4 linked regions of the Schizosaccharomyces pombe genome follow. The protein of the gene in region 1 binds, or shares a complex with, the protein of each later gene. Each region holds a gene or a part of one and is shown on either strand. Other genes may lie near its edges.

The links.
Region 2: mrpl20 (region 1) and mrpl10 share a complex: the UniProt entries of both Schizosaccharomyces pombe proteins name them as parts of the mitochondrial large ribosomal subunit.
Region 3: mrpl20 (region 1) and mrpl27 share a complex: the UniProt entries of both Schizosaccharomyces pombe proteins name them as parts of the mitochondrial large ribosomal subunit.
Region 4: mrpl20 (region 1) and mrpl7 share a complex: the UniProt entries of both Schizosaccharomyces pombe proteins name them as parts of the mitochondrial large ribosomal subunit.

Annotation. Positions count from the first base shown.
Region 1 is NC_003421.2:818,662-824,835, forward strand, and holds mrpl20 (mitochondrial 54S ribosomal protein mL58), read left to right. Parts: upstream 1-2,633; 5' UTR 2,634-2,982; coding exon 2,983-3,576; 3' UTR 3,577-4,816; downstream 4,817-6,174. Other genes in the region: Cu(2+) transporter complex subunit Ctr4, read left to right, coding at 1-667; telomere cap complex subunit Ten1, read right to left, coding at 1,188-1,496; SPOM_SPCC1393.12 (uncharacterized protein), read left to right, coding at 5,018-5,344. UniProt on the Schizosaccharomyces pombe protein: Component of the mitochondrial ribosome (mitoribosome), a dedicated translation machinery responsible for the synthesis of mitochondrial genome-encoded proteins, including at least some of the essential transmembrane subunits of the mitochondrial respiratory chain.
Region 2 is NC_003423.3:1,820,799-1,825,503, forward strand, and holds mrpl10 (mitochondrial 54S ribosomal protein uL15m), read left to right. Parts: upstream 1-2,104; 5' UTR 2,105-2,137; coding exon 2,138-2,902; 3' UTR 2,903-3,159; downstream 3,160-4,705. Other genes in the region: translation elongation factor EF-Tu Tuf1, read right to left, coding at 1-425, 477-611; U6 snRNP-associated protein Lsm3, read right to left, coding at 1,328-1,365, 1,467-1,581, 1,636-1,653, 1,724-1,816, 1,858-1,875; Nop52 family nucleolar protein, read left to right, coding at 3,764-3,806, 3,851-3,958, 4,015-4,303, 4,486-4,699. UniProt on the Schizosaccharomyces pombe protein: Component of the mitochondrial ribosome (mitoribosome), a dedicated translation machinery responsible for the synthesis of mitochondrial genome-encoded proteins, including at least some of the essential transmembrane subunits of the mitochondrial respiratory chain.
Region 3 is NC_003424.3:1,431,824-1,436,076, reverse strand, and holds mrpl27 (mitochondrial ribosomal protein subunit L27), read left to right. Parts: upstream 1-2,678; 5' UTR 2,679-2,701; coding exon 2,702-2,878; exon of another isoform or gene 2,879-2,923; coding exon 2,924-3,028; 3' UTR 3,029-3,304; downstream 3,305-4,253. Other genes in the region: SPOM_SPAC3A12.08 (uncharacterized protein), read right to left, coding at 294-938; DNA-directed RNA polymerase II complex subunit Rpb11, read right to left, coding at 1,662-1,893, 1,940-2,029, 2,075-2,124; SPOM_SPAC3A12.06C (sodium/calcium exchanger), read left to right, coding at 3,422-4,253. UniProt on the Schizosaccharomyces pombe protein: Component of the mitochondrial ribosome (mitoribosome), a dedicated translation machinery responsible for the synthesis of mitochondrial genome-encoded proteins, including at least some of the essential transmembrane subunits of the mitochondrial respiratory chain.
Region 4 is NC_003423.3:1,736,049-1,741,505, forward strand, and holds mrpl7 (mitochondrial 54S ribosomal protein uL5m), read left to right. Parts: upstream 1-2,593; 5' UTR 2,594-2,929; coding exon 2,930-3,793; 3' UTR 3,794-4,049; downstream 4,050-5,457. Other genes in the region: ebs1 (EST1 family protein), read left to right, coding at 1-981; MAP kinase kinase kinase Byr2, read right to left, coding at 4,269-5,457. UniProt on the Schizosaccharomyces pombe protein: Component of the mitochondrial ribosome (mitoribosome), a dedicated translation machinery responsible for the synthesis of mitochondrial genome-encoded proteins, including at least some of the essential transmembrane subunits of the mitochondrial respiratory chain.

The sequences.
Region 1 (6,174 bases):
GAACATGACCAACAGTACGACACCCATGTCTGGAATGAACATGACCAATAGTACAACATCCATGTCTGGAATGAACATGTCCAACAGCACAACATCCATGTCTGGCATGAATATGACTAATACCACTACAACCGCAAAGGCTTCTTCTTGTAAATTATCCATGTATTGGAACTGGTATACTATCGATGCTTGCTTTATTACCAAACATTGGCATATCACCAGTAAGCATATGTTTGTCGGTAGTATTTTCGGAATTATCTTCATGATGATGGCATTGGAATTGGTCCGTCGCGGACAAAGAGAGTTCGATCGTTGGTGTGTCCGTAGATTTTCTCCCGCTAGCAATTCCTGCTGTCATTCGGGTGCCCCTGTTCATTCTGGTCCAAGCATGGCCCTTCGAATCTTTCTTCATTTTCTTCGGTCCTGCTTTTATCTAGTCCAGTATATTGTCGCGTATATCGCAATGTTACTCGCAATGTATTATAATGGCTATGTAATTTTATTTCTCTTTTGTGGCACCTTCTTTGGCTATTTCCTGTTTGGTGCGGATACCATCTCTACTAAGGCCTCTTCATCTGTTCAAACGAAAACGATCGTTCAAGTCGCCGACGAAAAACACGAACATGATTCCAGTCAATATTCAGACACAACACCTACAACCGAATAGCTTGATTATCTCTAAATTTGGTTTAGTATTCCCAATTTCATGCACCTCACTCATTTTCAGTGCTGAAGCGTCTGATTAATCATAATCGTCTTCGCTTTAATTTCTTTCGCACAGTCACTGATAGTTTGGAAGAGGATTCTTTGATGAATGTTGAAGCCACATATTACATGTCCATGTTGGAAAGACAAAACAAATTCTGGTAATTTGTCTTAAGTTTTTACAAAGTAATAAAAGTTTCAACAAAAATAAATAGATGCCACAAGGTAACGCTTATCTTTGTTAGTTAAACATTCAAATTAGAGTATATAGCAATTTGAACAGATGTAATTCGTTCCTTTTTTTTTTTAACCATGATTGTTTGTTTTCGACTTTGAACCTGGAGGTTAATAAATATTTATTATTATAAAGACTGACATTAACACGATTCAGTACCTTTATGGTATCTTAAGGTGATCACTTTCTATATATTTTTAAATGAGTTTGTAATGACATGGTGCAACAGAACTACATAAGATATTCATCAATCACATTTTTGACGTTCAGAAACCATTTGTCGATATCTCGGAAGATTAATTCCAACAGCAGATCGTATTAACAAGACATCCACAATACCATCCTGCCGCTTTCTCCCAACAATGTTGAGCCACTCATGCTTTTGAATAGATACATCAGGTAAAACTACTGTAACATCACAAGTCACGCTGCTTGATCCATCAATCAACCGTAGAATGCCATTCTTATATGATTGCACGCATCCTAAAAATCGAAGTTTTTGGCCGTCCTTACAATCGTTAATTTGATTAATGAAGATAAGTTTAGCACTATCCATCAGCTGCTAAATATATTGTAAAAAGGAGAACAAGGAAAGATGAGGGAAGGTGGTATAGTTTGTGTTTGGAAACTGGGTAATCGATTGAAATATGAATTTCGTAAATGAGCGACTTAAGATCGCAGCTTTAATTAAGAAAACGTAGTTTGACTTTTTCAAAAGGAAAAATTTGCATTAATCCTTAAAATGTGCAGAAAGACTACACTCTCGTTTGCAATAGTAAAAGCAAAATCTAATAATCGTATAGTACTATCAGTGAGGCATATTAGATTGATAAATAGACCAACATTTCCATTATTATTATTTATGAATTGGTTTACTTGAGCAACTCCACAAAAAACGCAAGCATGGTTCTTTTGATTAGTTTTTATAAATTAAGTCAGATGGAATATAAAAAGAGAAAAATAAATGCTTTGGCCGGGAATCGAACCCGGGTCGAATCGATGGCAACGATTCATTATACCACTAAACCACCAAAGCTTCTTGAAATATCTTGTAAACTTGTATAATATAAGTAGCTATTAACGATAACGATAATTATTTATTATACCATTATAATATTGATTAAAATCAAGCAGAGAATTGGAAACATGTTCTGATGTAGTTGTTTAAGGCCTTATAAGAAATCAATAGTTCTTGTAATAAATTCCGATTTTAGTTATAGGGCCAATGCGGCTAATATTCACTTGATAAATTGAAGCTGACTGTAAACAAAAGGTTACCCCTTACTTAACCATTTGATATTATAATTTACATTGCAAAAAATTTGGGTCAGTTTGAAAAGGTGTGTACATTTCCTAAAAATCTATGGAAAATTGAAAAAAATAAAATAAATTTAATTTAATATTTAAAATATCATGCTTCCAGTATTCAATATAATCGGTATTTAAATTGAACCATGAACAGATTAGAAATGGTTTAAAAAAAAAACAGCAAAACAAAATTGTATTGAATTTATCCTACAATCAAAATGCCGTTAACAATATTTTTTAGCTTGAATCTTCCGATTTCTCTTAATAAACCGTCAAAGTGCCAAAAACCAGTTTTAATATAACGAATTATATAATATACATTTAAGGTGCCATAAACACACTGCATTATACGTATTGAAACTAAGAGTGTGGATACTGTGCATATAGAGACTGCTAAACTCCAGGAAACCCGCATTTGGAGAGTAATTTCGTGTTTTTACTCGGAAAATTGCAAGCCTTAATACGATTCTTGTAAATTCAAAAGTTAGAACTCTTCCAAGTGATTTTTTGCGTGTTTTTTTGCTGTTTATTTTTTTTTTGCATTGAGCTCTTTTGTCACGTCGTTGCTATAGCTTTTAGGCTTTGAGAATCTTCGTTATAACTAATATTATTTGAAGTGTGGGTTTATCCAAAAGGCCCTTTACAGTTTTTTGTGTTATAACCTTTTCTCAAAAAAATTTAAAGCATCATTTCTAAAGCGACACCAAAATTAAAATAGTTGAAAGAGTAAAAACATGTTGTTTACAATCAAACCTTCATTTTTGAAGCCTGTAGGCTTCATTCAGACTCGGAATTTGAACCGGCTATACCCTAAACAACGTATTCCTAAGCGACCTAAAATTCCTATGGGTTCCAAAATAGCAGAGGTAACTGAAACTACATCTGCTTATTACAATCCACCAGCGTCTTCTCCAGATGTTAGGATTACTCCTCCTGTTTTTCGCTATGATGCACCTCCAATTCATCAGCGTGATACCTCACTTTCCAAAGAGTCAATGTTTCTCCCGCCGGCAGTTAGCCGAAAATCGAAAAGCAAAGGAAAGTTGAGGTTTTCTACTCATCAACTGAGTAGTGAAGATATCAAATCCATCCAAGACTTGAGGACGAAAGATCCGAATGCTTGGACAACTGGAACACTGTCTAAAAAGTTTAACACAACTCGGTTACTAATTTCACGAGTTTGTGAAGCTCCCAAAGAAAGGATTCAAAAAGTTGAAGAAAATTTTGAGGCTGAAAAACTTGCCTGGGGATCAAAGAAGCGTGAAATTCGCCGACAACGTGCATCTCGTCAAGCATTCCGTACATTGGAACGAGTAGCACAGGTTTAAAATAATTTAATAGTTTTTGGGATTCTAAAACTCTGGTTTTCAATAAAGCTCTGATGCACATGCGGAAGCGTTTTTGACTGCATTATTTAATGTTTCAATCACGTTACAAAATACTCGAGTGATTTGAAAGTTCCTTGGAAAATAATATTAGTTTTGAAGCTTTTCAAAAAAAACAGACATCTTCATTCTTCTTTATTTCTTAATTTACAAAGGCTCTCTGGCATTTTACGAATTATCCTTTACATTTCTATCAACATTTACGCACATTGGTCTGCATATCGCGAATTTTTGTCGCAACCTTTAAAATGTTATTATACAGGCACGAACTTGTTTTACATTTTTACCTCTCCCTTCTCATGTACATATTTCCTTTTTGGAACAAATGAGGAAATTTTTCATTTCAGCTTAGTAGGCTCGGAAATCCTCAATCATAGAGTATGTTGCTTTTGTAACACTCAAGCCAGTTTTTTTTTTTTTTTGGTTTTATCTTTTAACTATTACTGAGAATATACAATGGTGTACATAATTAATTGGGTCAGCGAGCAGTAAAAAAACATCTTTATTTCCTCTTGTACAGAGAGCCCTTTCGTTCAAACCTCAAGTGGTGAAAATAAAGATATTTTTTCGGCTTTTAAGCAGTTGCTATTTAAGATTTCCAATCGACATCAACCGTTTATAAACACTCACGAGATACTTACTTTTGCAAGTTTCCTCACCAGCCATCATCCATCCATCTCCTTAGGACAATTTGCATTCTACGGATTTCATTAATACATCCATCTCTAGCTACTATTTACTTATATTAAAGCTTTGTTTCGCCGTTTTCTACTTTTTTGAAGCTTGTGTGACTATACGTGCTCTTCTTTGTTGGCCCAATTTTCCAACGATCGTCTAAAGAAACATGCGACCTAGTTGAGGAATTTTGCTTTAAGACATTGTTTTTACAGACTCTAACAAGCTTAATTTGTATGGTGGACACAGCTTTGTTGTAATACTGCATACTGCGATTCTCAAATCCTACACTCCTCTCTCCTCTTCTCTCCTTGTTACTTAGTACCTCGAGAAGTTTTGGGGTGACATCAGTCAGACACAAGAATTATATGATGGGTGGGTGGGTTAATACGTATATGAATGATCTCATTTACGTTGCCGTATTGTGCTACTAAAAGTGTTATATATAGAGCAGTGGGAAGTAGAAGTGAGCACTCTTATTAACGATAAAGTTGTGAGTTGAACAAAAGCGACTTACTACTTTGAAATATTGTTTTACTTTACAATTGAACATTTACTAGTGTTCAGGAAAAATCTAATTTTTTTTCGTGCGCTCGATTGAATATTATATCAATCCTTTGTGTTGTACGGAGAAAACCGCTTTTATATAACCTTTCGATTTATTAATTTTTTTTTACTCGGTTAATTCACGAAATCCTAATCGAGCATCATGAATAGGCGTGTTACTCTTGGAGCCTTGGCCGCTGCTGTTGGTGTTGGTTATTATATGACTCGCCATAATCGTCAGGCATCTTCCAGATTGGAACAGAAGAATGCAGAAATCGTCAGAGCCGTGGAAAATGAGGGTCAACGATTTGACAAAGCTGTTGGCGAAACCACTGAAAAGGCAAAATCTTATCTCCAAAGTGGGAAGGAGAGGGTTGTCGATGAACTCGACAAACCTCGTGAAAACGTAAAAAATGTGTTGTCAGAGGCGCAAGCCAAGGGTACTGAACAAGCAGAAGCCCTTAAAAAGGGTACCTCAAAATGGTTTTAAATTGGAAATCCCCAATTCTCGCCATTTAGGGTTATGTGGCAATACTTTGAAAAAATACACACAGGGTTTGTTGTGTATTTGAAAACGTAAAGTGCCTAGCATTGGCTCGTTCTATACCTGCTATCCATTAAGTGTTCTTGTTAATTGTTCCAAACGTATTGCCAAACATTCCGGATCACATCTCGGCAAAGTCGGAGAGATTAAACGTTGTTAACGTTATTCTTTTTTATGTTATTATTAGTTTCTTCTCTCATAAACCAACTGAACCCAAATGATTAGCGATGACAAACAAACGACGATTCCATGGGTTGTCAAAAACACCCTCATAGAAGTTTGCTTTTTTTTGTACAGATAAAAGCGAATTTTTAATTGAAATAATGTTTTTCATGAACGCATAAATGAATGATTGAAATTTTTACATGCATGATTTTCCATTATAGACTGTAAAATGATATTTAAAGTAAGCGATGTGGACTAAGAGTAGTGATAATGCATATGAATACATGCATAGTTTGGATATTATAGGTTTTTCCTAGTTTCCATTATTAAAAAAATAAAAGATTGAAAGGAGTGTTTTGCTTTAATCTGCTCTAGTAGACAGAGTCAAAATTGATATATTTAATAATATTCAAGATGAAGAGATAGAACTCATCAAGTTCGCTTAGATATAACCTTAGCTTACGCGAAAGATGAGAATACTGTAATGCATAGTTTTTTGTTAATTTGAGACAACGAGAGGTATGGAAAATGCCCCTCAGGTGAATTCTCTAAATAAGCTAAAAAGTCAAACGCAAAAAAATGCATTATGCCGGTTTATAGAAGATAAACTT
Region 2 (4,705 bases), on another chromosome or scaffold:
ATCATATCAGGCTCGACCATATCGACTTTATTGATGTATACAACAATTTGCTTTACACCGACTTGACGAGCCAGAAGCAAATGTTCACGAGTTTGAGGCATTTGACCATCGGTAGCAGAAACAACAATGATAGCGCCATCCATTGTAGCAGCACCAGTAATCATATTCTTAATGTAATCGGCGTGACCAGGACAATCCACATGGGCATAGTGACGATTAGCAGTTTCGTATTCAACATGGGCAGATGAAATGGTAATACCACGTGCCTTTTCCTCGGGGGCCTTGTCAATTTGACTATAATCCATAAAACTAGCTTGACCAAGATCAGAAAGGCATTTAGTAATAGCAGCCGTCAACGTCGTTTTACCGTGGTCAACATGACCAATAGTACCAATATTGACATGCGGCTTTTTTCTAACGAACACCTTAAAAAAGTTAACAAGTAATCAAAAAGATGAAGAATGAAAAAAAAATACCTTTTCGTCAGCATAAGTTCGAGCTGGGACGGTGAACCGGTTAATCAAACCTGAAGCGAAAGAAATGCGGTTCAATCGCAAGCAATTTTTTCTAAAGCCTTGAAAGAGGAGAGAGGTAGCTTTAGCTGAATTCATAACGAAGGGAGCGTGTAGGCAGAGGAGAGGTCTCTGGCGCTCGTGTTGTCCTTGAAATAAGTCTCAGCGGTGCGCATCGTTATGAGAATACTATTGACACGAGCATTTCATGAAATAAATGGTCCTGGGTGTTTGGATACAATCAATATTTGTAGAATTTATTTTATTTTGTTCTATTTTACCGCTACGCCTATATATGATGATACGCTTGTTAATAATAAAAAAATACTAGATGAACTAGTGAACAACACCGCCAAATCGAAAGCAATTGATAGTTTTTTTTTATTTGCACAATGAATGGTATTATGTCTCTGATCTCTAAAGGAATGTCAATCTGATTTTGCTAGATCGCAAGAGCAACCACCATGCAAGCAAAAATCGCTTACTATCCTGTCAAGTACAAAGAATAAAACCATTAATGAAAAGTCTCAATGACAAAGCTCAGCGTCTCGTGAATGTTGGTTAACTTCGAAGAGTCTTTTGCTTTTATTAAGTAAAAGGATGTAAGGAATAACAAGAAGTGGTGCGTGACTAAAGAAAGATAAAACTATCCATCCAACGGAATAAAGGAAAATCAAACTTTTCTGTAATATAGAATACTCAAATCAAAAGTCGTTACTATTGTACGAAGAAGCACCTCTAAAGCGAAAAATTTTAAACAAAAGAATGAGATAAAAATATGTAGATAGCTTTGTATAGTAATTTTATTCGTTCCTTTAATTACGAGGTGGAGCAATCAAAATAACCGAATCACCTAAAGTTCATTAGCATTTGGCGAAAAAGGAAAAACAGTTTCGAAAAGGAAAGCTTAATCATGGTCAAACTTTTCGAGCGTAATATTTAGAATCTACGTACCACGAACAAAGAGCATCTCATAATGTTTGCGAATCGTTTTTAAGGCCTTGTCCTTATCGGTCTCTTCATCATCAAAAATAGTTACAATTTCTTCAGCATCTCCTAGTACCATATTCTAAAATACGTGTAAGTAATCCATCCAAATGCGAGTTATGAATATGATTCATACCAAATGTTCATCATAGGCCTACAATCGAGTTAGTATAACCAATTCAGAATAAGAAAAATATTCAAGAAACGTTAAAAAAATTTCATACATGAAGACGGCCATTTAATTCTCTATCTCCCCGTAATTTTACATAAACGATTTCATCCAAAGAAAGCCTCACCAAATCAAGAGGTTCCGCGACCTACAAACATTAGTTACCGAGTTACTGTTGATAAATCTTACTGCCTGTGCCGATTCCATTATAAAGTAAAGGGTTATTATATCTACCAAGCAAGATCGCTGTTGCTGCAATTATGCACTGGCATATGTCAGGAAGAAATAAAGGAGGAAACAAATTCGAATTGCGCAGTGCAGCGATGCTGAATATAGTAATAAAGATATTTTTATGAGACGCTATAGAATTTTACGTATTCGTGTGTGTCCGAATCTTTTGTAATAGTAAACAGCAGCCTTGGACTTATTACCATCTAAACTCGACGAAACCCGTTTTTTGAATTGGAAAATGTTTAATATTTTATCTCGGGTTTGTCGCAGTTCTTCATTTCATGGTTTTTTGAGATCCTCTGGTTATCCAAGATTTGGTGCTAGTTTCCGCGGCATCAGTATGTTGAATGATTTAAACAACAGTGCAAATTATCAGTCAAAGAAGCGAGTGGGTAGAGGCCCTGCGAGCGGTTTAGGAAAAACCTCTGGACGTGGTCATAAAGGATCTGGTCAAAGGCGTGGACGGAGAATTAAACCTGGTTTTGAAGGTGGTCAAACTCCTATCACCAAATTATTTCCTAAAGTTGGTCACAGTACGGGACATTTGAAGAAACCGTTGCGTCTGGGGTTAGGGAGAGTTCAGGAATGGATTGATCGTGGTAGATTGGATGCTAGCAAGACAATTACTATGAAAGACCTCCTCGATAGTAGATGCTGTAGAGGTATTAAACATGGAGTTGAACTTACTGCTGACGAACCTGGACTCCTTAAAACAGCAATTTCCATAGAAGTTTCTAAGGCTACAGTTCAAGCTATACAACAAATCAAAAATGCAGGCGGCAGTATAACAACAGTATATTTCAGCCCGTTGGCGCTACGTGCCCATTTGCATCCTTCAAGTTTTCGTACACCTCCTCGCCCTCCCCTTCCAGTTTCAAAGAAAGACATACGCTACTACACAAATCCACATTTTGCAGGGTATCTTGCCAACGTTAAAAATATTCGAGAGCTATATTATGGCGACCAACGATTCCCCTACGAACCGATTGTTAAAGATAAATAAGTAGTTCCCATATTACATCAGAACTTGATATATGTTCATCAAAAATCCCGCTTTCCTAATATGTCCTTAAAACTTTGTTATGTCTATTGATGATTCCGTGCAGCCTCCTTTACTTTCTTGGATGGGTTACATGTTGAGTTTTGTAAGGAAATATCTGCATCCTTTTCTTAGTACATTTGTATAATTACGTTTCCAATTTCGGTGTTTGAGCTCTCTACTGACTTTTTCGCTTACAGTTCAATACCCATTAGTAATATTTTGAATACCTTTCTCATTCGAAAATATAGCTTCCTTCTTTATCCCCCAAATCCCCTTGTTGTAGTCAGTTCATTCTCTGTCAGATAAACCCTTTCTCACATTTATTCATTTGCTTCATTAGTAGATTTGAGCATTCGCAGTCATGCACTTTTTTTGTATAATCAAGAACCCCTGCCGACTGTTTGTTAAATTATTATCTTTTGCCTTTTTTTGTTTAAAGCTTTCTTAAAATTTTTTCATCCTCCGATTGTCTATCCAACAGGAAAAGATCTTTCAAAGGATCTCCTTTTCAAAGGCATGCAAGGAAGAAGAAAAAGAACATTTGTTGATCAATGGAACGGTTAAAGACTTATATATAAGAATGACTAAGAAAACCGGCATTTGTAATAGAAGTGTAAGCGAACCATAGTAGTACATTAACCTTATGATCAATTAATCTACATAAACGGTCAATTCTAAAAAAAATAATACATATTGACTGGGAAACTCCTTATTTCATATATTAGAAAGGGACATTTATCAACTCTCCAATTAGTGCACTAAAACGCAGTATGGAAGGAACGATGCTAAGAACTGCTTCAACACTTTGTCAATAAACCAACAATGTCGGCTCCGTCGCCGTTTATTAAGAAACTTGCAGCTAATGGTAAATTTCTTACATATAAATGATTAATGTACTAACACTGTAAGATCGAAAAACTCGTGATAAGGCTCTTGAATCGTTGCAGCGGTTTTTAAGCCAAAAGAAAAAATTTGAAAGGTTAGACTTTCTCAAGCTTTGGAAGGGCTTATTTTACTGTATGAATTTTTTTGGGTTATGAATGTAAATCATCTAATTGTTTTTTAATATGCAGGCATGTGGATGGCTGATAAACCCTTATACCAACAGAAACTCTCAGATAATTTAGCCGCGTTGGTTCCAATTGTCTGGATAGACAATAGAATATTATTTCAATCTACTTTTTGGGAAACTATGGGTCGTGAATGGACGGGAATTGATATTTTACGAACAGACAAATTTTACTTGTTAATGCGTAGATTTTGTGCTGCTGCGTTTCGGGATATTCAAACAAGAAGTAAAACTGCTTTGCTGGACAAAGTAGTGGCTGAATATAATCAGATGTGGATGGATGGTCCTTTTAAGTAAGTTGTTTTCGTTCCCGCGTGTGGGAATTTGTTTATTATATAGATTGCTTTTGCGTTGGAGACTTTTAGAAAAGTTTTGCAACGCTTTTACTTCCTGCTTACATCAAACTTGTTGAATAGCTATTTCTTAATTTTTATCATTTTTCTGTTTATTTGGACAGACTACTAACTGCTTTTAGTACCGAAAATCTTGCTTTTCCAAATGGGATTTTATTCCATTTAGCTGATATATGGACTGAGGAATTAAGAAAAGTCTACCCAGAAGATGTACCAAAAGCGGACTGGTATCTTCCTTTTGATTCTACAATCAAGTCAAGTCATAATGTTGTCTTAAGAAAGACGCTTCCCAAACGTCTTGATCGGGTTTCTGAATATACAAAGGATTCACAATAATTAATT
Region 3 (4,253 bases), on another chromosome or scaffold:
CTAGGACTTGACGTTCAATTACTAACTGTTATAGAAAATTTACTATTTAGTACACAGTAGATAACTAACTAATTGGATATAGCACTTGAGACATAGATCTCAAAGAGATTGTATCTATTTCATAAAAGAGACCTTTGTCTCTGGTTTAATCTGTTAATGCAGTCACGTTAAGTAAAAGCATTTTTGGAATTGTAATCACAACAAATCCAAGTAACAAAATATCATTGTTTTCGTATGATCATTAGAAGGTTAAGGTTTGCAGTTTTAATATCATAAATGGCATTTAACAATGACTACGATTGTAAATCCAAAGCTTCAGCTAACAGCTGACTTTTAGAATTGTATAATCGTGCAACATCGTCTTTAACTCGAACGATTACCCAGTCTCCAGCAGGCACAGGCTTTTTGTAGTTTATGCTATAACTGGGAGTACGCACATCGAAGTTTTCAGTAGGAATAGGGTCCCGAGGCTGTGTTGATTGTGAATTTGCTTGCGATGATCTAAGATTCCGAACAGTCTCAAGAGACTCGATCAATAAAGTTGCAATGGCGCCCCCATGAGCCAGTTTCTGATATCCTGTCAAAGCCTTACCCATGAGTCCAATGCTGATCCATTCTTCATGTTCGGGGTCATAAAATGTTTTAAATACAGGTATCAATCCATCTTTAAAGGAAAGAAAATTGGAAGGATACTTAGATTGAAGCAAGGACGGATGCTCCTCCATTTTCATGCTGCGTTGACGTTCGCGATAAATGTTATCAATCATTTGAACAGCTTCAGGCGATTTCGAAATTTCAGAAATATGTTTCGCACTTGCTGGTAGTCGATGATATGCTGTATAGGCATCACTGGAAACAACCCAAGAAGCTAGACCGCCTACCATAAATCCCCCAATCCCTGCTAATAACAGCTTATTTTGAAATAATTTAGAGCTCATAATCAAAAATTGAACAAAGTTTCAAACTTTTCGTCACAATGTAATAGGAGCGTTTACTATTAGCGATATTCGGACGTTATAAAACTGATACGCAGATGGAGCATATGTGCAAAGCATAGGGTATCATTAATTTATGCAAGAATATTTATCGTATATTTTAAGAAAATATAATTACTTACATATCCAAAAAGTATTCTATAATAATAACTAATACAGGAATAAACAAATTTCGTAATGCAATTGAAGCAAAGCATTTGGAGAGAAAATGATGATTGTGAATAATTCAATGACATAAATTGTAATAGTACAACATTAATTAATTTATTTCTTTTAAGATTGAATGTAAGAATCGATGCTCTGCCCTACTGTAGGAAATTAATCACTTCGATTACATTCAGCAAAATTCAACTTTGAAAAAAAAAGCAATATCAGAGAATAATCCAGGTACCTAGAAAAACTTTCATCGCCATTGCTGCAGTTTTCTAGTTGGTTTATGAAGAAGCATATACAATAAAAGATCGGAGAACTTTCACCTTTTTTAAAGCATCTGTTTTCAAAAAAGAAAGAAACTTTTATTTTCCCTTTTAATACGACTTCGGTCCAAATTACAGAAGTTGCGAAAACGAAAGTCAAAATTTTTGTAATAAAGATGCATACAGAGGGTATTCTGTATTTTTTGAAACAAAACTCTAATAAATATTAGAGAAAAAGCAGCCGTGGATTTTAGGAAAACTCCATTTCAACGCCTTCAACAGATATCATTTTCAACTCCCATTCACGCATAAAATTAACTTTGATTTCTTCCAGATGAGTAATAAGGGACTTAGCAGCATCAACAATAACCTGCTTTGGAGAACAATCTTCTACGGTTTGTACACGAAGTATGAAATTGTGATTTAATGGATGAGGAACTTTGTAACCAGCAAAAAGAACCCTTTCGTCAGATAGGAGTTGACTTCGAAAAAGCAGTTAGAAAAGAAAAAAAAATTTAGAAGTCTTACTTTGCAAGCATATTAGCCAATGTATGATCCTCTTTTTCAAGAGTAACTACTGCGGCATTAGGTGATTTGCTATCGAGCTCATATGTGACTCTACACTGGTTAATGCAATTCCTTGTAAAATTGTTTATTCCTTACTTGGGGAGTCCCATAAGCTCAATGAGCTCATACCGTTCTGGCTGATTCATTATGCCAACGTTTTCAGCCGACTAGCTGAAGAAGAAGTAAGATGTTGATGCTTACGAGGGTTTTGTCCACGTTCTGTACATTAAGCATCACTATAAATCGTAATGCCATTTAACAAAAGCTTTAACACTTTATTCCACAACTCATCGTATTTCGTTATAAATAACGCGAACGTGAACGGACACTTAATATATATTTATCTGTTGGAAATCGGCTCAAACGAGTAATGAAATGGGAGATGTAACAGTATTTTTTAATAACTGATTTTAATAACTAAAATTTTTAAAGGCATATTTTGAGGCGTTTAATTGTAGATTAACCGTACTTGTTTTCATTGAACTGTGCAGAAAGATAAACAACAAGAAAGCTCATTTAAATGTTGAAAAAAAAATAGTTTTTCGTACTTATTTCATTTTTTAGTTTCATAATGTAATTCGTTTGTTCGTTTTAAACAAATATTTTTATTGTTTACATTCTATGTTTCGCTTTGACTGTTACCTTATACCGTTACCTTTTCTTTTATGACGGAAAACGCGCCAACTTAAACCCTCCATTTACCCAAATCGAGAGTTATTCAAAATGCATCAATCATTATTATGTTTTGGAGCAAGACGCTTGCCAATGACCACAAAGTTGGGTCATCAGTATTACAAGGGTACAAGAACTGGGAAAATGGGTCAAAAAACCAGGCATGGAGGTTTTCTTGTCCAGTGGTCGCGTGTTCGCACGTTTGTGCCTCCTTCTGGTGATTGTGAGGTATGTTGTAAATTAATGAATATTGTTTTATATTAACTTTCAAAGCTTTTGCCTTTTGTTTCTCGTCGAATTCAAGCCACTAAAGGAACTTATCCTGAAGGTGCAAATGGGTTGGATGGAGCTGTGTATTTTGATCTTGCTCATAGCTAGTATGTTTATCAGCCTCATTCTTTATTGTTTTGAAAAATTTTGGTACCCTTTTCAACTGTTGCTTTATTCTATCTGTTAATGATTGGGCATACACTTTGAAAGGAGAAATTTCTACGTTACGATACCTTATGTTGCGTTGACTGTTGTTATTTATTGTTTACGGACACGTATATTTATCGATATTCTGTTGTGACGTTTGCTTCTATTAAATATACTAGTTACATTCTTACTTTTTCTGCCAAAATTGGGGGCAATCTTGAGTACTGCGCATTTATATATTTATTATAGGATTAGTCTTTTTCATCCCATCTATCTTAGAAAAAAAAGGGCTGCTAATACCTAGCAATGCGGTTTAAGCATGGATTTTCTATATCTTGGATATCAGGTATAAAAATGTCGAAAACTTCATGTTTCTTGAAGAAATACAGACTAATATTACTTTGGTGTATCCTTGGCATTGCCTACATTTTATTCTGGACTCATCGGATTAGCAAAGCGTTTGCTTCAGTATCCTCGACTTCGGACTCAACCGTCCATCTTTTTGAGCGCGGAAATACCTTAAATGATAGCAACGACCAAATTTTACTTACATGCAATGATATCAAAAACATTACCCCTGCTAATCAATGTCGGTTTGCAAAGGCTTACTGTAAGGGAGAGGCTAGTGGGTTCTTTGATTACGTTGAATTTTATTTTTGTACCATTAACAGTCTCCGATTCCCAGTGTTATCAATAATTGTGGGATGGCTGATTTTCCTTTTCATAACTATCGGAATTTCTGCTAGTGATTTTTTTAGTACCAATTTGGTTACTATTTCGTGGCTACTTCAATTGCCCGATTCTGTGGTTGGCGTTACTTTTCTTGCTTTAGGCAATGGATCTCCTGATATTCTTAGTACGTTCGCTGCTGTACGTGTCAACAGTGGGGGAATGGCTATTGGGGAACTTTTGGGCTCTGCATTCTTCATCGTAGCCATAGTTGCTGGCAGCGTATGTTTAATAAAGCCATTTAAAATACCTCGGCGTCACTTCCTTCGGGATGTTGCTTTCCTTACCGGTACTATTTTACTTGTTATAATGTTTGTTTTGCATGATGGTTCGTTGAGTATTTGGCAGAGTCTCGTAATGATACTTTATTATCTACTCTACGTTCTTTTCGTCTTTTTCTCTGGTAGCTCTGGTGTTAGCGTGGTAATCACTGATGAGAATTATTTGCCTGTCTCCC
Region 4 (5,457 bases), on another chromosome or scaffold:
TCTCTGTCTTCAAATGCTGTACTTATGCCAATGCTTCTACCTTTGTGTGTTTTGACTTCTTCGTGTTTGCAAAATGGGGACGTCTGGCTTACTAAAGATATTCGAACTGGACTTTCACAGATATTCAATCGTTTAAGCTTCTTTTTGGAGAACACAAATCAAACAGCTCCCGACGACTCTGTTCTTGTACGCTGTTCTTCTAAAAGTATCGGCCTGCTATTCTTTTTCCCTCTTGTTAAGGTTTGTGGAGTTCCTCGTGATACTTTACAGTGGCTTTACTTTTCAAATCATTATCCTTTTAATGAGGAAGGTAAAGGTCCCCAAGTTGATGATTCTGACGCACTGATAACAATTGCGTTAGATTCTTTGTATGTGTTACTGAATATGCGAGCGAAAAGTACACCAAATAGCACATCTTTTTCTTCGCCTCCAACACCCCACAGATCTCCATTTAGCGGACAGGCTTTTACTGGAATGGGATTATCGAATTATTCACTAATGTCCTCATCTTCTTTTCCATCTGCTCAATCTTCTCCTACATCTCCTTTTTTATCTGGAACACCATCCATAGCTAATCAGTCATCTAGTATTGCAAGTCTGCAATTTGGGAGGATGGTGGATAGCCTCGTTGGACCTGTTCAACCTATACCTGCTCAAACTACCGGGTGCTCTGTTCATTCATTACAACAACGCACGTTTTCAAATGAGAGTCCTAGAGCTGTCGATTCTGGTTTTAGTAGGACTAGCACACCATTTAGTGAAAGTACTAGTTCTTATCCTTTAGTGTCTGGGAATCTCAGTTCTTGTGAGACACACTTGAACGGATCTCCGCAAAACGGACATTTACAAGGTGAACGTGTTTTATTCCGCCCATTGAGAAGCCCTGCTTTAAACACATTTTCTACGCCTGCTACGGAACCTCCGGAACATTTGGTTTTGTCTGAGCTATTAAAGAAAATGGTTAACATCAGCAATAATTAAACTGTATTGTTGATTGTAATGTTTCATTAAAAATTCTGAAGTTTGTTAGAAGCAGTCAATTAACTTTGCTGCCAACAACGAACAAATTTCTTGCTTTATTTCTCACGAAGTGAAATAACCCAAAATAATGTATCACGGATTTCTTTGTTTATACACTGTGCTTACGAATTAGAAATGGTTCTTCACTTGCCTAAAGAAAGGCTTTGACTTTTATATAAGTATGAATAGTCATCAAATGGCCTAAAGTGTACGGGTATTCACGACACTTAAATTAAAATATGGTCGATGGGAAAATAAAACGTTGTTTAGTTATCATAGCGCTGTTCTGGTTTGACCTAAACACAAGCAATTAAGGCGCTTCCCAATGTTACAATATATATCATAGAATGGGTTAATTGTTTACATAGGACTGCGTTGAATTCTTTAAATAGAATCTTTAGCCTCGAATTATGAAGTTATCTGACTTGTTGGATATCCTCAGCTTGCCAATTGATTGATAATAAGCATATGAGCTTGGACAGTGAATATTCAATATTTGGTTACTCAGTGCAATTTGTTTTGTGATTCTAAGCAGAAATGCTCTTTATAAACATTTACTGCACTATCTTGAGTTTCTAGAGCTTGTTCTGTATCCAAATTGTAATGACTGGCGATTCTCAAGTGCCAGATCTTATACCTCTTTTTATGTCTTTACCAGACGTTATCGTAATGCCTGGACACAAAACTAAAGTGTAAATTTGTCTTTCCTATGAAATGCTTGGTTTTTCATTAAAGTGTTACGAATTCGAAACATATATCTATGATTTTTGAGTATACACTGGCGGTATCTGTTGTTTAAGATAATTTAGTTTTGAGTTATTCGAGGCAATCAATTTCTTATCAAGTGTGATTCTCTTTTTAGAAAACCAAACTAAAAGTAAATCTATTGATCTTTTCAAGTATTAAGACAACTTGTTTTCTTTTGGATAAAATGCTTTTATTGTTGCATAATAGATTGATAAAGGTACGAAATGTATAAATGCATTATTTTATGTTGAGTACTTTACTCTTTCAGGATTGTGTTTGAGCTAAGCTTCTTGCATCTCTCATTCATCATCACACATCTATATTGAAAGGAAAGAAGGTAAAAAACGAACAAGAACAAAGTGAATACAAAAGAACGAATTGGATTAGTATTGTTATTGCATGAAAGTGATCTTATGACATGCATCACTATCCTATCCAAATAGTTTGTAGAGCCAGTTAGTAATAATACTTTCCAATAATTTGAATATGTGTGGCATGCCATTTGGCACGATTTTGAGAAATACAAAAATAAAATCATCTTGTAAAAGAAGAGCAATTAGCTGCTTTTTTATGTACCAGCTGAAGGAAAAACATTTGTTTTTCGACGTATAAAAAAAAACAGAAAGACATCAGCTTAAAGCTTTAAAGCTAACTTGTTTAAATAAGTTTGTAAGTTACAAGTACAATACTTTCTATTACACTTGGCACTCAAAATCGTGTGGCATATGATTATAACGATGCCTCGGATTTCCTTACTTGGCACTAGGTAATACGGTACACTAACCATGACAATACACTAGACAAACGCGAGCAATCTTCCAGCCCTAGTACCTAAGATCCATTGCAAAATTGTTTTGGTTGCGAGACTTACCTGTTTTATCCATAACCATTTGTTAAAACCTTCCTTTGAAGATTTGAGAAACAGGTATCATTTGTGGACATTGGTCTTTACAATTTCCTTGTTTCGTGATTATAAATATTTTTTCCCGGATTTGTGTTATTTACTATAATTTATTGGTAAATTATAACACAAGTGCTCATCTGCTTATAAAGCAAAAGGATTTTCACGAAAATTCCCTAGAAAGTAACCTGTTGTATTTTTGTCGCTTTTGGTTTCTCTTTGTCATTATACTTGTTTTAATTCATTTTTTAATTTTTAACAATGCTTGGGATAAGAAAAAATATCAGAATATCAGTTAACTTTCTGCAGCGAAGAACCATCACTGTAAAGCAAAAACTGGGCAAGAATAGGCCCCTACCAGGATGGGATCCAAATTCTGAGTATTTTCGTCCAGGACCCACCATGTTAAATCGCTTACAAGAACACTTGCATGATACCATTTTACCGGATGTATTAGCTGCTTCATATCGACATGACATAGATACAGCGTTAAGCACAGATGAACATACACAGAAAGACAGACTTCCAAGGTGGATTGGTGATAACCCTTATTATAAAAACCGGCCTCCTCAGAAAATGCGTGGTAATAAGCCTCTGTTACCAGTAAAGGAGTCCGTTAATCCTAAAAACCTTCCTTCTATTAGCAAAGTTGTCGTCAGCACTATGCATAAAGAAGCACTCGTTGACAAAACGCAGCTCTTGAGTACAATGATGGCATTTCGTTCTATAACGGGTTTGCAGCCCGAAATAGTCTATGCACGTAAGGACGTTTCTCCCTGGAAACTTCGTTCAGGTGTGCCAGTAGGTGTAAAGGTTACTCTAACTGGAGAATCTATGTATACATTTCTTTCAATCTTATCTGAGTTGGTTCTTCCTCAGCTTCATGATTTCAAGGGCCTGAGTCCTACAAGCGGAGATCAAACAGGAAACATATCTTTTGGTTTACCAAGTGAAGTCATGCCTTTATTTCCCCAAATTGAAGCTGTTTATGAGATGTATCCGCACTCTTTACCTGGATTTAACGTAAATATAACAACCAATTCCAAAGATACCCGTTTGGCTCGTTTTTTCGTCAGCAGTCTTATTCCATTTACAGATGGAAATAAGGAAGGCTATGTTGGATAGTAGACAATTTATTTTATATCTACTATACCTAATCTTTTCTCCTCAAGGAGTGAACAAAAAATCCCCTTCTCTACGACTAATGCATACATACGTTTTTGAGTTTTACTTGTTTAAGTGATAGAATTCCCGTAGATATGTGTTATTATATATTTATGTTATCGTTTTCACAAAGTAAATAAAAATAAAAAGTTTTTTCTTGAAAAGGAATAATCAATGGATATTTTTTAAACAAACTGAACATGTAAAATAGTATTTTTTTAGTAACTAAACTCATAATGGTATTTATCAAGGACATTCACAAAATCATTAAAAACATGAATATTGTAGAAAAATATAGCAACTTAAATCATACGGTTTATAGGTTAAATAAATTCATTAGTTCTAAATGGCATAAATGCAATGATAATGATGCAAAAAAACATAAAAAAGATAGATCGTAAAATAATGTTTCTGTTTTCATCATAACTTAGCCGGCTTATGAAACGAACGGGTGGCTCAACAACTCTGATGCTGTAGGTCTAAGATTACAATCTATGGCAAACGTTTTCTCAAGGAAATCTATGGCCGATGAAGAAATGTTAGAAGGGAATTCCGGCAGAATGTTCTCCCCAATTCTGAAAATGGCCTGCATTTGATCACAATTCGGATAAGGGTGCTTACTAGTGAGCATCTCGATTACCAAACATCCCAAAGACCAAATATCTGTTTTCTCCGTATGCATAGTTTGCTTCACCACTTCGGGAGCCATCCAAAAAGAAGAGCCTTGAAAAGAAGGGCGAGCACCACCCGTCTTCGTAGAGGTACTATTTAGTTCAAGTTTCTTCGATATCCCAAAGTCCGAAATTTTAATCTTCCCTTTATTATCAACCAAGATGTTCGCACCTTTTATATCACGGTGTACAATGCCGCGTGAATGAAGGTATTCTAAGCCTTTAAGGGTTTGCTTAATAAAGTTCTTGACTAGCGTTTCCTCAAAGCTTCCATACATTGTAAGCAATCCGGCAACCGACCCCCCAGGAACATATTCCAAAAAAATGTTCAAGTGGTCCGAATTTAAGTTAGAACCGAGATATTGGACAATATGCTCATGAGACAACTCCTGTAGAAGAGCAATTTCACCCGCTAATGCATCTAAAAGTTTGGCATGGCGGTCTTTTGATTCAGAAACAGAATCTAAGATCACTTGCTTAACAGCCATCAACTCACCACTAGATGCATTCATACCGAGATAAACTTGTCCAAACGATCCTGAACCTATTAACGCACCACGTATCCATTTGATAGACTGATCATCAGTGTCCTCTTCAAGTGTATTTGTGTCCTCACTTGTAGTGGAAGTTGGAGAAATTGGGGATGGTTGCTCAATAAATGATGGGGATGAACCAGGTGAAAAGGAAAGTACTTGATGGTTGCCATGCGCGCTTTCTGAAAAAACATTATACTTCGACGATTTTTCATTTCCGTTGGACTGGTATAAAGGTTCCACACCAACCATGGTTATGGATTTTTGAAGCGATGGTGGTCTAGAAATACGCTGAGTAGAAGATACAGTAAGTGGAGGATCAAATCCCCTATCAATCCTAGGAAGTCGGTTAACATCTTCAGCAACAGAAATCCTCAGAGAGGAAAGAGGACAAACCAATTCGGAAGGGCGAGCCCGCCGA